3 linked regions of the Callithrix jacchus genome follow. Each later gene encodes a partner of the first gene's protein in a complex. Links are inferred from orthologs where the notes say so. Each region holds a gene or a part of one and is shown in the gene's direction. Other genes may lie near its edges.

What was found.
Region 2: RBM48 (region 1) and CRIPT share a complex: the UniProt entries of both Homo sapiens proteins name them as parts of the minor spliceosome. The link is inferred for Callithrix jacchus from reciprocal best matches to the Homo sapiens genes RBM48 and CRIPT.
Region 3: RBM48 (region 1) and CWC27 share a complex: the UniProt entries of both Homo sapiens proteins name them as parts of the minor spliceosome. The link is inferred for Callithrix jacchus from reciprocal best matches to the Homo sapiens genes RBM48 and CWC27.

What each region holds. Positions count from the first base shown.
Region 1 is NC_133512.1:57,089,552-57,094,728, reverse strand, and holds the start of RBM48 (RNA-binding protein 48), read left to right. Parts: upstream 1-1,774; 5' UTR 1,775-1,779; coding exon 1,780-1,890; intron 1,891-2,439; coding exon 2,440-2,630; intron 2,631-4,786; coding exon 4,787-4,932; intron 4,933-5,177. Other genes in the region: peroxisomal ATPase PEX1, read right to left, coding at 1,285-1,413. UniProt on the Homo sapiens protein: As a component of the minor spliceosome, involved in the splicing of U12-type introns in pre-mRNAs.
Region 2 is NC_133515.1:68,132,010-68,137,229, reverse strand, and holds the start of CRIPT (cysteine-rich PDZ-binding protein), read left to right. Parts: upstream 1-1,962; 5' UTR 1,963-2,061; coding exon 2,062-2,077; intron 2,078-3,498; coding exon 3,499-3,564; intron 3,565-4,317; coding exon 4,318-4,372; intron 4,373-5,220. Other genes in the region: PIGF (GPI ethanolamine phosphate transferase, stabilizing subunit), read right to left, coding at 358-606, 1,307-1,561. UniProt on the Homo sapiens protein: As a component of the minor spliceosome, involved in the splicing of U12-type introns in pre-mRNAs. Involved in the cytoskeletal anchoring of DLG4 in excitatory synapses.
Region 3 is NC_133503.1:144,761,991-144,767,382, reverse strand, and holds the start of CWC27 (spliceosome-associated protein CWC27 homolog), read left to right. Parts: upstream 1-2,134; 5' UTR 2,135-2,341; coding exon 2,342-2,383; intron 2,384-5,392. Other genes in the region: protein SREK1IP1, read right to left, coding at 1,708-1,720. UniProt on the Homo sapiens protein: As part of the spliceosome, plays a role in pre-mRNA splicing. Probable inactive PPIase with no peptidyl-prolyl cis-trans isomerase activity. As a component of the minor spliceosome, involved in the splicing of U12-type introns in pre-mRNAs.

The sequences.
Region 1 (5,177 bases):
TATTGCATAGATTAGCCACTGGTGGGTACCACGCCTCCAGGATTTATGAGTATTAGGGACAAGCTGCCTCAGAAAACCCCTTCGCGCAAGCTGACCTCCCACCCCCACACCCGGCCCCCACAGCCTGATTGCTCTGCAGCTGCTTTCCATTCCTGAACGCCTACCTAGGTGCTACAATTAAGCAAAGCCTGATTACAGCCATCTGGGCAGGTCGGGGGAGGACAGGGAAAACAAATGTTTGTTAGCCATACGTGTATTCCTGTTTTCCACATACCTGTAAAATCCTGTTTTTTAAAAAACTGCCGCCACAAGTCACAGGATTCGCAGGATGATGTATATTGTAAGCCAGTCACAAGTTAACAAACTATCTCTGTGCCTGTGACAAGCTGATAAATTATCTCAGTCCTGAAACTCTCTTAAGCTCCTCTCACCCCATAAAAGCCCCTCATTTTGTGAGCTCGGGGCTGCCTCCTCTGAGTGTTACCAACAGCCTGGCAAGTTAATAAGACTTGCTTGCCTGACTTTGGGTCTACTCTCCTTTCCTCTTGGCTAACCTTACAATGAGAACTTCAAATACGCTATCCTTTTGCCCCCATAAGCACACTCAAATTCTTGAGACCATGTGCCTCTATTTTTAATTATGAAAGTAGGGACGCTGTATCTCCACCAGTGGTTACAACTGTGAAACTTCCCTACCACAACGTCCAGAAAGGCGACTGATCTCAGAGCTTCAAGTGATCCTAACTACGTTACGTGTTCCTAACACACCACAGCTGTGTTCCGAGGGTCAGCGACGCCGCGCAAAACCATCATTGTATTAATCTTTCCCGCTTATGGGACGCGGTGGTCAGTCCCCGGGAATCTACCCGGGCTCAGCCAACAATTCTCCGCCTCCCTCTCGCGGCCGGGACGGCAGCAGCGCAGGTAACTGGAAATGACTGGCAAGAAAAACACCTTTTAAAATAACAAAAACAAACGACTTCTCAGGAGATATTCCAACCTGGAATAAGGAATATTTCTAAAAACAATGGTAGAATGTTAGAATGTTTCTAGGCTCAGTTTCACCAAGTGAAAAGACCTGGGATAAGACAAGCCCAGGGCTGCCCAGGACTTGTGGGACGCAAAGACTACTCAGAGGGGCCCTGTCCTCGAGGGACCCTTCGTCTGACCTCTGCGCGCTTCGGCGGCGCCCGAAAGGCAGCAGGCATCCCGCCGCCTCCCAGAGAGGTTTCGGCCTAGTCCGACCCCAGGCTGAACAGCAGGTGGCCGGAGCCGGCACGTTACCTGCAGCAGGTGCAGCTGGGCCACGAGACGCCGCGGCAGGTGGAGGAAGCAGTCGCGAGCGTTGGTGAAGACCACAGTCACTGCCGTCCCGCCTCGCCCAGCATCCGCCAGGAGATCGCTGCCCCACATCGTCCTTACGCGTCGCTCCGGGTTCGCCCCACCCCAGCGCCGCAGCGGACCCGGGACCTGGCAGGCCAAGGGCGTCGGAGCCGGAGGAGATAGATCGGCCCCGCCCCCTCTGACCGCTGCGCCTCTCGTCGCAAGCCTGTATTAGGTGGAACAAGCGAGCTTCTGCCACTCACCGCGCCTCTCCGCGGTGCCGCTCGCGGGGGCGGCAACTCGTTCATCAAATCCTCTCACGCAGGAAACGATGGCCGACGCTGTCGATTCTCCAGCCAATCGTGGGACTCCTTGACTCATCTCGCTCTCTTATTGGGGAAAAGGGAGCTCAGCAGGGCGGATGTTGTCCTCCCTGCGAGGATCAAAGCAGGCAAGATGGCGTCGAGCGGTGGGGAGTTAGGGAATGTATTTGACCACCACGTCCAGCGGGCGGTATGCGACACGCGGGCCAAATATCGGGAGGGACGACGGCCTCGTGCTGTCAAGGTAAAGTGATTTTGGTTTCATTCGCTCTCTTCGGTAGCTTTATATGAGTGCTAGCGCCATATAGCCAGTCTACAGAAATAAGGGCAGGACAAGGCTGCTGTCAGATCCCTCTCTCTTTAGAGCTAGCGTGAAGAACCTTGCTTGGGTCAGTTATCAAAGATTCTCACGATCCTTTTGGTCAACTATTAGAACAGCACCTCCACGAGAGTAAGGCTTGGTTTTAGTCATTGGATCTTCTGTATTTACAGTACTACTTGGCACAAGGTAAGCGCTCAGTGAATACTCGTTGAGTGATTGTTCCCGGTGAATTCTACCGACTCAATTTCTGGAAAAAAATGTCGACTGAAGGTAGTCTGTTATATGCCTTTGTTAGGTACCCTCTCACATGGGCTGTTACTCTTTATGCAGAGGGAATGAGAGACATTTTATTTTGTGTTTGGGTTGAACAGATTATTTCTTGTTTTGAAAGCGCTGTTTAAAAAAAAATAGAGGCAGATTCGTCCTAGGTTTATTTGCGAGATACATTTAACGACTCTGCATTTCTTTCAGGTATATACAATCAATTTGGAATCTCAGTACTTACTAATACAAGGAGTTCCTGCTGTGGGAGCCATGAAAGAATTAGTTGAGCGATTCGCTTTATATGGTCCAATTGAACAGTATAATGCTCTAGATGAATACCCGGCAGAAGACTTTACTGAAGTTTATCTTATTAAATTTGTGAACTTACAAAGTGCAAGGTAATGTGCAAGTTAAGCAGTGACTCATTTTCTCCATTCATATTTCTATCATTTTGGGCCCAAGTTTCCCTCATTCATACCTCATTCAATGTAATCTAGCCTATATTCCACTTATTTTCCTCTAGCCTTTTTAAAGGTATACTTTACTTGAAGCACTGTTCCCATCACATCATTCCCATGCTTAACAATTTAATGTCCTGTGGTGTGGTAGATTAAAAGTTGGGTTTGAAGTTAGGACACGGTGGCTCTCGCCTGTAATCCCACCACTTTGGGAGACTGAGGCAGGCAGATCACTTGATGTCGACAGTTCAAGACCAACCTGGCCAACATGACAGAAACCCCAGCTCTACTAAAAGTACAAAAATTAGCTGGGCGTGGTGGTTGGGACCTGTAGTCCCAGCTACTCAGGTGGCTGAGGCATGGGAATCACTTGAACCTGGGAGGTGGAGGATTGCAGTGAGCCAAGATCATGCCACAGGACTCCAGCTTAGAGTCCAAAAAGGCTGAAGTATGCAATGCCTTATCTATTTTTATGTTATAAAGCGAGGCTCTCAAAAAAAAAAAAAAAAAAAAAAGATGGGTTTGAGGCCAGGCACATGGCTCACACCTATAATCCCAGCACTTTGGGAGGTCGAGATAGGGGGATCACCTGAGGTCAGGAGTTCAAGCCCAGCCTGAGCAACATGGTGAAACCCTGACTCTACTAAATACAAAATTAGCCAAGTGTGGTTGCACAAGCCTGTGCTACTGGGAAGATTGAGGCACAAGGATCACTTGAAACCAGGAAGTGGAGGTTGTGGTGACCTGAGATCACACCACTGCACTCCAGTCTGGGCAAGAGTGAGACTGTCTCAAAAAAAAAAAAAAAAAGTTGAATTTGATCCCAGCACTTTGGAAGACCAAGGTGGACAGATTGCTTGAGCCCAGTTCAAGACCAGACTGGCCAACATGGTGAAACGCTGCCTCTACGAAAAATACAAAAATCAAGCTGAGCATGCCTGTAGTCCCAGCTACTTGGGAGGTTGAGGTGGGAGAATCAGTTGAGCCCAGGAGGCATAGGTTGCAGTGAGTTGTTTATGGGCCACTACACTTTAGCCTGGGGGACAGAGTGAGACACTGTCTCAAAAAAATAAAACAAAAAGTTGGGCTTGGAGTAAGTTTTCCAGTCCAACTGCTTACTAGCTTCATGACCTTGGACAAGTTATTTAACCAGGTTAAACCTGTTTTTCCTCTTCCATAAAATCTATATGCTAAAGGGACCTTCTTGAGGTAGTATGCTGATGAAATGAGATGATCCATATAAAGGGTTTAGCATAGTCCCTCCTGGTCAGAATACAGTAAGCATTAGCTATTGTCACTCCTTTCTGCGAATTGACTCAGTTTTTTCCAGCCTTCTATCTGATATAAGCCCTCTGCTCAAAAAAAGCTGAAGTATGCAATGCCTTATTTGAATCCTTGCTCCTCAAACGAGAGTATGAGCATGGCTAAGTTATATAATGTCCTAGTGCTTCACTTTCATTATACAGTTGTGAGGTATTAATTCAAGGGAAGCACTTATGACATTGCTTGGCATATGATAAAATCTCAACAAGTATTAATATTATCCCTGGATATAGGAGTAGTTAAATTTATTTATTGTAGTACTTGGCATATCATAGATGTTTAGTAAGTATTGACTGAATAACATTTTTATTTTCTCATTGTTATATATTTAGTATTTCCTCAGTTATTGAAGGTATTATGATTATAGTATTTTTCATCTGATTTTTAAGGCATAAATCCCATTACAGAAATACATTGTGCTGAAAAAGCTTAATTGGATATGAACTAACTCTTCAGGGCCACAGAAAAGCTCTATTTTATGACCAGAGTTTACATACCTCAGGCCAACCAGCTGGGTCCTTAGTTGCTTAAAGACTAGGGAACAAATCCAAGAGGTTTAAAGGGAAGAGAAGGCTCTAAGAGTACATACTGGATGGGTGGTATGAATACCATCCACAAACAGAGCATCTTGATTCCCAGTCCACAGGATATATACATACACATTGCAAAAGCTGGACTTTGGCTTTAGCTCCAGGTATTGTATACTAGTTAAGCTCTCATTTGTAAGTAAATCTGGATTTAAAAAAACCATGCTATCTTGTATTTCCATTCAGGACAGCCAAGAGAAAAATGGATGAACAGAGTTTTTTCGGTGGATTGCTTCATGTGTGCTATGCTCCAGAATTTGAAACAGTTGAAGAAACTAGAAAAAAACTAGCAGTGCGAAAGGCATATGTAGTAAGAACTACTAAAAATAGAGGTATGGAAAGCATATTGCTAAATGCCTTCTGTGTGTCAGGCACTCTGCCAAGTGTGTCATCATGCAGTTCCCAGTCTAGTGGGAAGAGAGGCAAGTAAATCATCACAGTATTCAGTAAGTGTAAACCACAGAGTTCTCTGCAGCGTACTACATAATCTGGGTTGAGAAGGGAGAAATATTGGTTCATAGAAGACTTCATCCAGTCTGTTAGAAGTGGCTGAATTTTGAAGGATAAGTAGACATTA
Region 2 (5,220 bases), on another chromosome or scaffold:
TTTCAGAAATGCAAAAATAAATAAAAATAAACTGCAGTGTCTAATTGAATAAGGTTTAAAGATAGACTGTCATACATATTTATTTTCAATTGTGACATAAAACAATGATTAATCAGGCTCACAATATTATAATATGCACTGAAGAGGTCATAATTCCACAATTAATCAAGGCAAGGATCAATCAAACATTGTGGGCAGCCTTCTAGCAAGTAACAGGCTACCAATTTTTTTGGGAAAAAAATCAGGTTCCCTTTACTCACCATAAATAACCTAATGAAGATTTGACGAATACTTTATTCTTTCATTAAAAGAAATACTAGCTCCATCAAAAATCAGTTATCTAGAAATAAGCCTTACCTTGTGTGATAATGAACTTCTTTTAGAGGATGCATTTGGTTTCACTACTAAATATAGTACTAGATTGACAGCAGTTACAAAACCAGAACAGGTGCACAACCATGTCAAGTGTGTTTCCAATAATGAGAAGTTCTCCAAGCACAGTGATGGAATGAAGACACTTAGGATAATTGAAAATATGCATAAAAGATGGGTATACAGTAGTCTTTTGATATCGGTATCTTTCATGGTGTTTTCCTGGGTGGCTAGCTAATAAAAAACAAGAAGAGCATATGCAATAATGACTTTTTCCATTGTCCAAAATGTTTCAACCCCTACAAATAAGTCATAAAGTCAATTTCCTATGGGCAATGTATTTGTTTCAAAACACCTGGACCTTATAATAGGTGAAGGGGAGAAAGGCAGCAAATCACACTGCCACGTGTGTACCTATGCAACAATCTTGCATGTTCTTCACATGTACCCCAAAACCTAAAATGCAATTTAAAAAATTGCTCTCACTTAATTCACCCAATGCTTTTCAAAGGCAGATACTTTACTGATAAGGAAACACGACAAACAGGTAAGGAGGTCCAAGTTCTCAAGAGCTACAGCCCTCTCTCTGGTACAACGAAATAAAGGGATGGAGAAGGAAACGGATGGCAAGAAGGGACAAAGGGAAAGTTTCCTATAGATTCTATCTTAAGCTGATTGAGGGAGGGCAATCATCAGGAATCCATCCTCACAACAAACCCTTCATCCATTTTTCTGAGCCACCCTCGGAATCGCAGCTGCCAACAGGAGATGCTCCTACAATAAGCAGGAACCAAACTCAAATGTTTGCTGAACGAATGAAGGAACCAGAGTATGTAAAGTGGGAAACTAACTCTCCTGGGAAACCCACACCGTGTTAGGCCCTGGCGTGCCCCCAGGACACCTACAAGGGTGCCACGGGTATGACCTGGCCCACCTCGCTAGGCACCGCAGCAGAGAGACGGCGCTTCCGAGCGGCCCCCAGAGGAGCCCTCGCGGGCATCGCCGCACCTTCACTGGCAGCCCCACCCCAACCTGGGTCGCTCGGGATTCTGCCCGAGCCTAGGCCGGCGCGAGCGTCGACAGCCAGGAACCAGCAGAGAGGCAGGATCAAAGAGCACGGGAGTTGGAGACAAGGGAAAACTGGGGGACAGAGGCAGAAACTCGGATCCGAAAGGGGGGGTCTGTCCATCAGAGCACGCCGGAAGAGTGGCGCTCGAGCTGAGGGCGAGAGCGGGCGGGCCGGGACGCCAAGGCTCACGGCTGCTACGGCAGTTCGCGGGGGTGGCTTGCACCCCGGGGGGCGAGATCGCCGGGGGCGTACATTGGGGCTTACCTAACTCTCCCACCCGCGGAAGGGAAGCGGGGAACTACTGCCTCCTACCATCAGGTACGACGTGCTACCCAGGCCCACCCGCAAGCGCAGGGTTAAGGGGCGGAGATCCAGGGCCGCATAGCCAGTAGCAGAAAGAGAGGGGCGGGCAGATGGGGCAGCCCCGCCTAGACGCTCCCGTTCATTCCTCCCGCGGCCTTCCAAGTTTGGGCTAGACCGGAGCGGCGTGCTTAGAAGCCGGAAGTGGGTTGACGTAGCCCGGAAGGGGAAGCCGTCCGGGTTTTAGTTTTGATGTTTTCGGGCTGCTGTTGCTGCTGCTGCTGCTGCTGTTGCGGCTAGGGGAACCGTCGTGGGGAAGGATGGTCTGCGAAAAATGTGAGTTAAGGGGCTCCTCCTGCGGGAGGAAGAAACTGGGGGAACCTAAATGAACTCTCCCGGGAACTCTGCCTTCTCTTTTGTTTTTTCTTCGCCCACATCTTTGATTCTAGTCGCTGTCCTTCTGCTCTACCCTTTGACCATTTTTGCACCTCCCCAAAGACCATATAGTCCTATAGTATATTTTGTTTTCAGAATGGTCTTAGTTCTGCATCTCCTTGTCTATTTCCATTGCCTTCCCCCAGCTCCAGATCTCATCAGCTCCCCTCCCGTATAAAAATGTTCAGTTAAACCCCAATCACACCTTTCCCTCTTGCAATTCCTGACCTTTCCTTTTTATTCATGTAACACACTAGAACCAAAGACCAAGGACCTCGTCTTACTCATTCCTGTTAGTCATTATGCCAGAATATGGCTTAGAGTAAGCCCAGAAGATGTGTGAATTGAACATCAACGCAAGTGCAAGTTACTATTTCCCTAATTTAACACCTTTAATAAATTCTCAGTGTGCAGAGAACAATGTGGGGATTCTGTATTTGGAGCCTGACGTTCAGGACCCTCCGCAATAAGGCCCCAACTTATTTTTCCAGCTTCATCTTCACTGATCCTTACCCTCTTCACACTTTGACCAAACGTAACTACCCTTTGTGCCCATGTGTACTCGGAGCTTTCCATGCCTTTCCTCAGAATGTGTCCTTTATCAGTCTGCCTTTATCCTCTTTACTCCTTTTTGTTCACAGTCCTATTGCCACATATTCAAATCCTCTCTCTTGCCTTCTCCCCAAACTTTCTTGGATTTCCTTAGCCAGGGTTATATCTTCCTGCATGGAATTTCACCTAGTACTTTAGCTCTCAATTATTACACCGTTTAATTTTTAGCTTATATTTTGGTTGAATGATTCTCAGGTTCTCTCTGAGAATCTGAAGAAAGCTATAGACTCTTGCCAGGAAAGAAAAAAAAAAGATATATAAAAGGTTTGTGTACAATTCTGCCTTGTTCACATATCTCTTAAGATCGACCTGTGGAACATAGATTAAAGATTGCTGTTAAACTACTGTACTATAATCTCTTTAAAATTTTGTCTGATTCATCACTTATTTTTTTCAGTAATTTGTATAGTTTATACATCATAGATGCTTAGTAAATATGTATGGAACAAATAGACTTGCCAGATTTGTTTAAAGTATAAACAAACAGAGAAAGCTTATTATAAGCCATCTTATTATCCTACGGATTTTACTGTGGATCAGTCATTCATTGCCCACAGTTAATACAAGTCTCAGTTCACTGACTGCTCTCCCAGCATTAACAGGCTCCTGCAGTAATAGGACTGTTGATACCATTGTGAACCTTAGGCACAATGTGATGCACTTATGAAATACTAAATTTTAAATTGCTTTTTACTATCTTATTATAACAGGTGAAAAGAAACTTGGTACTGTTATCACTCCAGATACATGGAAAGATGGTGCTAGGAATACCACAGGTATTTCTTCTTTTAGAAAATAGGAATTTAACCAGAGACTCCTGTGAATATTTTATCTTTTACGTTATTTGTAAAATGAAATGTGTTCAAAGTATTTTGTCTATTAAACATGAAAGAATCCTGGGTCCCCAAGTTATTTAATATCTTCTACTTAGTTCTGTTACTTGTACAGGTTCCTAACATCAGGAGATAGCAAAATTATTAAATGATTGTCAAGTGGTGACAGTATCATAATATTTGATTTGATTCAGCTTATTTAGAGACTGCATTTAATTTCTCCGCTCTTCTGAGGAGAAATTTTTTTAAATCTGGTTTTTATATTCTTGAATAAATCCTTTAACCCATTTTACCTTCATTATCATTAATTACTTACAGTGAAGTATTTACCTTCATTATCATTAAATACATAAAGTATGTTTTCGAAGGGAAAGAAAAGAAACATAGACATTCAAGGTCTATGACACTGAAGTAGTGGGTTCTAGATTTTACAGTATATCAAGTAAATATAGACCCATTCCTAAGGTACTACCTTGAGTCTGAAAAATAAAATGATTGTATTTTATACAAATTTTTATTGTTTCTCTAATAAATGTTTTCTTTTTAAGCAGCGTCTTAATAACCTGACTGTTAAATGAAGATTTAAAAATTAGATATAGGCTACTAGTTTGGCAGAAAGTCAGAGAATGAACTTCTTAATGTTATATGTTAAATGTATAGAAGTAACCCTTTAAAATAACTTCTATTTTGATACAGAAAGTGGTGGAAGAAAGCTGAATGAAAATAAAGCTTTGACTTCAAAAAAAGCAAGGTGGGTAAGAGGATCCATAGAGAAGTCATATAATTTTCACTCTTTTAATGTTAAGCCTACTGGAGTGAATTTGATGTGCATCATTCCAATTGCAATAAAACATAGAGTTAGGTGGTTCCTGGCACTCAGAACCAAGCTATTTGTTATAACCTGCTGGTTTTACCTTATTCCTCCTTACTGTATGTCCCCCTCTGACTTCATATTGTACCATACTCCTCCTCATTCATCATATGCCATCCTCATTGGTTCTGCCAAGCCTCCCCCATCCAAAGAGATTTGTCCTTGCTGCTGTGTCCTCGAGGTCTTTACTGAGAGCTTACGTATCTGGCTCCTTGGTGTTTGGGTCTCAGCTGAAGGGTCTTTTCTCGGAGAGGTTTCCCTAATCAGCCTGTAAACTAATTTCTTCTTTCCTTTTCCTCATCTCTGCCTTCATATTCTGTTAGAATTGTCTCTATAATGCTACTATTTGAAAAGCTTGCTTGTTTTATTAGATTGTCTGTATCCTTATTGTCTACCTCCTGTCTAGAATGCCATCTGATGAGGGCAAGGGCTTTGTCTATCATGTTGATCTTTGGTATTTAGAACAGTAATTGGTACATAGTAAGCACTCAGTATATATTTGGTGAATGAATGAATACCTGTTTTATGATGTCATCCTGAGGATTAGAAATAACAATACTAAAGCCTTAACTACATACAGTGTGGGCACATAATAGGATCTTTTTTTTTTTATTTTTTATTGCATTTTAGGTTTTGGGGTACATGTGCAGAACATGCAAGACAGTTGCATAGGTACACACATGGCAGTGTGTTTTGCTTCCTTTCTCCCCTTCACCCACATTTGGCAT
Region 3 (5,392 bases), on another chromosome or scaffold:
TTAGATGGCTTCCTACTATTCTTAGGACAATGCCAAACCTCTTGTCATAGGCTACAAGGTCCTTCAAGAGATGGAAACTACCTTGTAAGTTATCCTGTACTACGGCAAAATGAATGAAGCGCACAGTCCAGAGGAGCCAGACTGGCCTCTTGCTTACTAGCTGTCTCATAATAGGCATATTACTTGATTTCTTTGTCCCTCAGTGTCCTCATCTGTAAAATGAGAATATTAATACTCATTTCACAGTGCAGTTGTGAATGTTAAATGAGATAGAATACAATGTTTAATGCAGTATGACACATTTGAAACATATTAGTAAATATTAGCTACAGTTACTATCGCTCTACTTAATTTCTCACTTATCTCTCATTTGCATCTGTGTTTCATCTACAGAAAGCATCTTTCATTTCCTCTTCTCACATATTTCCTCTTCCTTTACATATCCAGTTCCTCCAACTACAGTCTCCTCTCCCTCCAAACCACTCCTTCTATAATTTAGATCTCCTCCTAAAGGCTACATCCTCTGGAGTCCTTCTGCCCATCCTCTATGTGTTTGGTGCCCTTACTATGTGCTTCCTAAGTTCTTGTATTTTCCTTGCCATGGCAGTTGTTCTATTTTCTGTAAATTTCTCTCTCTTCGCTGCTAAATTCTAAGTTCTGTGTGAAGTGTAGCCATGTCTACCTTGCTCACGATTGTATTTTCAATGCCTCCAGTGCCTGGCACACAATAGGCACTTAATAGAGTGTACACTTCCTCTCTCACAGCTCCAGATGTACTCCTCCCCAAACTGCAGTTGGTACAAAAGCCAATGTTCCCATAACAGGTATCTGTAGAATGAGGTTCAAAAAGGCTGCCACAGAACAAAGATTATCTGGTCAAATAATACTGGGAAAGGTAGGTTTAAACAGGGCTCTGAACCATGGTAATTTTCAGAATCCTTTCTATTACTAAAGTGCACTGTGAATTTCCAAGTTGCGGGGGATAGGGTGGAGGAGTGTATATTCCTGAAAATATCTCCTGCAACCAGTGTTCGCAAAGCCGGTTTAAGGAGATGCACTCCCCTACTAGAACTTCCAAGTAAGCTAGTAGTTGAGGACGAGAAAATCTTTTAATTATTCTGCGAGTTCACCATTTTTAGGGCAGTAACTTCTGGACACAGAATTTGAGACTCAGAAGAAATCTTATACATCATTCAACAAAGCTCCATGTTTTTATAAGAAAACTGAGGCCCAGAAGCACAAAGAGACCAATCTGTGGCCACAGAGCAGCTACCTACAACAGGAAAGGCTAGGAGTAGAACCCAGACACCCGGCAGGTCCTAGCGACTTCTAAGACAAACGATGGCTCCGGTTACCTGAGTCGGCCAAGTGTTTCCACTTCAAATTCTATTTTAAAGCCATACCACAGTTAAGGTAGTTTTTCTTGGCCGCCTGCCCCCTTAGGCCTACAATTACAGTCTCTCCCTTCTCCCTCCCTTCCACGATATACTTTCCCTGTAATCCCATGCAGTTGCGGGGGGAGGAAGATAGTTACTTTCTTTCCTTCAGAGTTTTTCTTTGGACTGTAAACTTTTTCACGTAAACAAAACAAACTCATGAATTTTAAGGCCTCCACCTAAATCCCCATGGGCGCTGCTCCCTACATCCTGCACCCTACCCTATCCTCCCTTGCGCTCCCTTCCGAGCTCGGACGCAGTGGCTCCTTACCTGGGACCGCCATGACGGTGGTGACAGGGGTCACTGCAGCCTCCGGCTTTCGAAAAGGCGCTTGCTTCCCGCCAGCTGCGAGGACAAGGCACAGCCAAAGCGGCGTTTGCCTTCCCCAGAGCGGCAGCACCTTCGCTACAGTCGGAAGGCCCTGTAAGCCTCTAGCGACAACAGAACCAGTAGACGCAGATGCGGTTTCCGGACGAGTCATATTGCAGAAGACACATGGTCCGGACCATTACTGTTAGTTTTGGGGGGTGCTGAGTGCGATCTGCACACGCAAGTAGTGAAGTAAACACCGCCAAAACTTACGAAGTGCCTCTTCTAATGTTGTAATACAAATTACATTAAGCCATAGTAGCTTTACAGACTTTTTTTTGTACCCAGGAGTACATTGGAATCACCCTTCTCAGCATTAGCGGTGCTCGGGTCCGATAACAACATGGCGGCGTCCGAGAGGGGTTGTTTTGGGCAAAGGTAGTGTTTGGTGTTCCTGTCTTGCGTGATGTTGACAAACTGAAGCTTTCCTGGACCACTCGACTTAACGAAGAGTGTGCTCGTAGGCGGACAGCTTTCGTGACCCGCCGTCCACTCTCATCCCCCATAAGGAGCAGAGTCCTTAGTACTGATCGCGATGAGCAACATCTACATCCAGGAGCCTCCCACGAATGGGAAGGTGAGAGCTTCATCTAGGGAACTTGGGGCCCTGAGATCCCCAAAATGAGATTTCCCGGATTTGGGGTGGGGAATGGGTTCAGGGATCTTGTGGTAGGAAGAGACCACGAGAAGTGTTGTCTTTACTTCTTCCTGTGGACAATGTTGCATCGAAACACTGAAGCTGGTACTTCTCAGCATGTACTTGAAAAAGTCAAGTGGAGATTTCCCTATCCAGCAGCGTTCCGGTCATATTTTCTGCCTTAACCCAACTCACGCAGCCTATATCTAGGGCCTTAAGTTTTTAAAAGTACATTTTTGAGTTTGATATATTCTTTGCTTAACTTGGAGGTCATTAATTCTCCATTTCTTCTACAGTCATTAATTGAACGCCTGCTAGCCACTGGGCACTGTACTAGGCGCCGGAGATACAAAGAGGCATAGGTAAGGTAGTTTTCCAGGAAGAGCTTACAGTTTAGAGACAGGCAGGTAAACAAAAGCCTTGTATGTCTGATAAGAGTGCTTGTAGAGAAGAGACCATGTTACTATGGTAATACTGAGTAGTGAACAATTGGGAAAGTTAGGAAAAGCATCATGGAGAAGCTATCTTTTGAGCTGGTTTTAAAACCTGAGATGACTGTCATTCAGAGAAAGGGGGAAATGGGGAATATTACCACATTAGAATGGAAAAATGTTTCTCTGATTGATTTAATGGCTAATGTATGCCAATTCCCATCCAAGGTGTTTGTATACAGTACAAGGCAGAAGAGTCAGTTGTAGAATAAGTATCACCTGAATTTTTATTTATTTATATATTTAAAGTATTTATTTTATTGCATTTTAGGTTTTGGGGTACATGTGAAGAACATGCAAGATAGTTGCATAGGTGCACAGCAGTGTGATTTGCTGCCTTCCTCCCCTTCACCTATATCTGGCATTTCTCCCCATGCTATCTCTCCCCAACTCCCCACCCCCCGCTGTCCCTCCCCTATTTTCCCCAATAGACCCCAGTGTGTAGTGCTCCCCTCCCTGTGTCCATGTGTTCTCATTGTCCAACACCCCCCTATGAGTGAGAACATTCGGTATTTCGTTTTCTGTTCTTGTGTAAGCTTGCTGAGAATGATGTTCTCCAGGTTCATCCATGTCCCTGCAAAGGACACGAACTCATCATTTCTGATTGCTGCATAATATTCCATGGTGTATATGTGCCACATTTTCCCTGTCCAGTCTATCATCCATGGGCATTTGGGTTGATTCCAGGTCTTTGCTATTGTAAACAGTGCTGCAGTGACCATTCGTGTGCATGTGTCCTTATAGTAGAACGATTTATATTCCTTTGGATATATACCCAGTAATGGGATTGCTCGGTCAAATGGAATTTCTATTTCTAGGTCCTTGAGGAATCGCCACATTGTCTTCCACAATGGTTGAACTAATTTACACTCCCAACAGCACTGTAAAAGTGTTCCTATTTCTCCACATCCTCTCCAGCATCTGTTGTCTCCAGATTTTTTAATGATCGCCATTCTAACTGGCGTGAGATGGTATCTCAATGTAGTTTTGATTTGCATTTCTCTAATAACCAGTGATGATGAGCATTTTTTCATGTTTGTTGGCCACATGTATGTCTTCTTTTGTAAAGTGTCTGTTCATATCCTTCACTTCCTTTTGAATGGGCTTATTTGTTTTTTTCTTGTAAATCTGTTTTAGTTCTTTGTAAATTCTGGATATCAGCCCTTTATCAGATGGGTAAACTGCAAAAATTTTTTCCCATTCTGTTGGTTGCCTATTCAATCTAATGACTGTTTTTTTTTGCCGTGCAGAAACTATGGAGTTTGATTAGGTCCCATTTTTCTATTTTGGCTTTTGTTGCCAATGCTTTTGGTGTTTTGGTCATGAAGTCCTTGCCTACTCCTATGTCCTGAATTTCGCCTAGATTTTCTTCTAGTGTTTTTATGGTGTTAGGTCTTATGTTTGTCTTTAATCCATCTGGAGTTAATTTTAGTGTAAGGTGTCAGGAAGGGGTCCAGTTTCTGCTTTCTGCACATAGCTAGCTACTTTTCCCAACACCATTTATTAAACAGGGAATCCTTTCCCCATTGCTTCTTTTTGTCAGGTTTATCAAAGATTGTATGGTTGTAGATTTGTTGTGTTGCCTCCGAGGCCTCTGTTTTGTTCCATTGGTCTATATCGCTGTTTTGGTACCAATACCATGCTGTTTTGATTACTGTAGCCTTGTAGTATAGTTTGAAGTCCAGTAGGGTGATGCCTCCCGCTGTGTTCTTTTTACTCAGAATTGACTTGGCTATGCGGACTCTCATTTGGTTCCATATGAAGTTTAAGGTGGTTTTTTCCAGTTCTGTGAATAAGCTCATTGGTAGTTTGATGGGGATAACGTTGAATCTGTAAATTACTTTGGGCATATGGCCATTTTCATGATATTGATTCTTCCTAACCATGAACATGGAATGTTTCTCCATATGTTTGTGTCCTCTCTTATTTCGTTGAGCAGTGGTTTGTAGTTCTCCTTGAAGAGGTCTTTACGTTCCTTGTTAGTTGTATTCCTAGGTATTTTATTCTCTTTGTAGCAACTGTGAATGGCAGTTTGTTCTTGATTTGGCTCTCTTTAAGTCTGTTATTGGTGTATAGGAATGCTTGTGATTTTTGCACATTGATTTTGTATCCTGAGACATTGCTGAAGTTGCTTATCAGTTTCAGGAGATTTTGGGCTGAGATGATGGGGTCCTCTAGATACACAATCATGTCGTCTGCAAATAGAGACAATTTGACTTCTTCCTTTCCTAGTTGAACACCCTTTATTTCTTTTTCTTGCCTCATTGCTCTGGCTAGAACTTCCAGTACTATATTGAATAGAAGTGGGGAGAGAGAGCATCCTTGTCTAGTGCCAGATTTCCAAGGGAATGCTTCCAGTTTTTGTCCATTCAGTATGATATTGGCTGTTGGTTTGTCATAAATAGCTTTTATTACTTTGAGATACGTTCCATCAATACTGAGTTTATTGAGGGTTTTT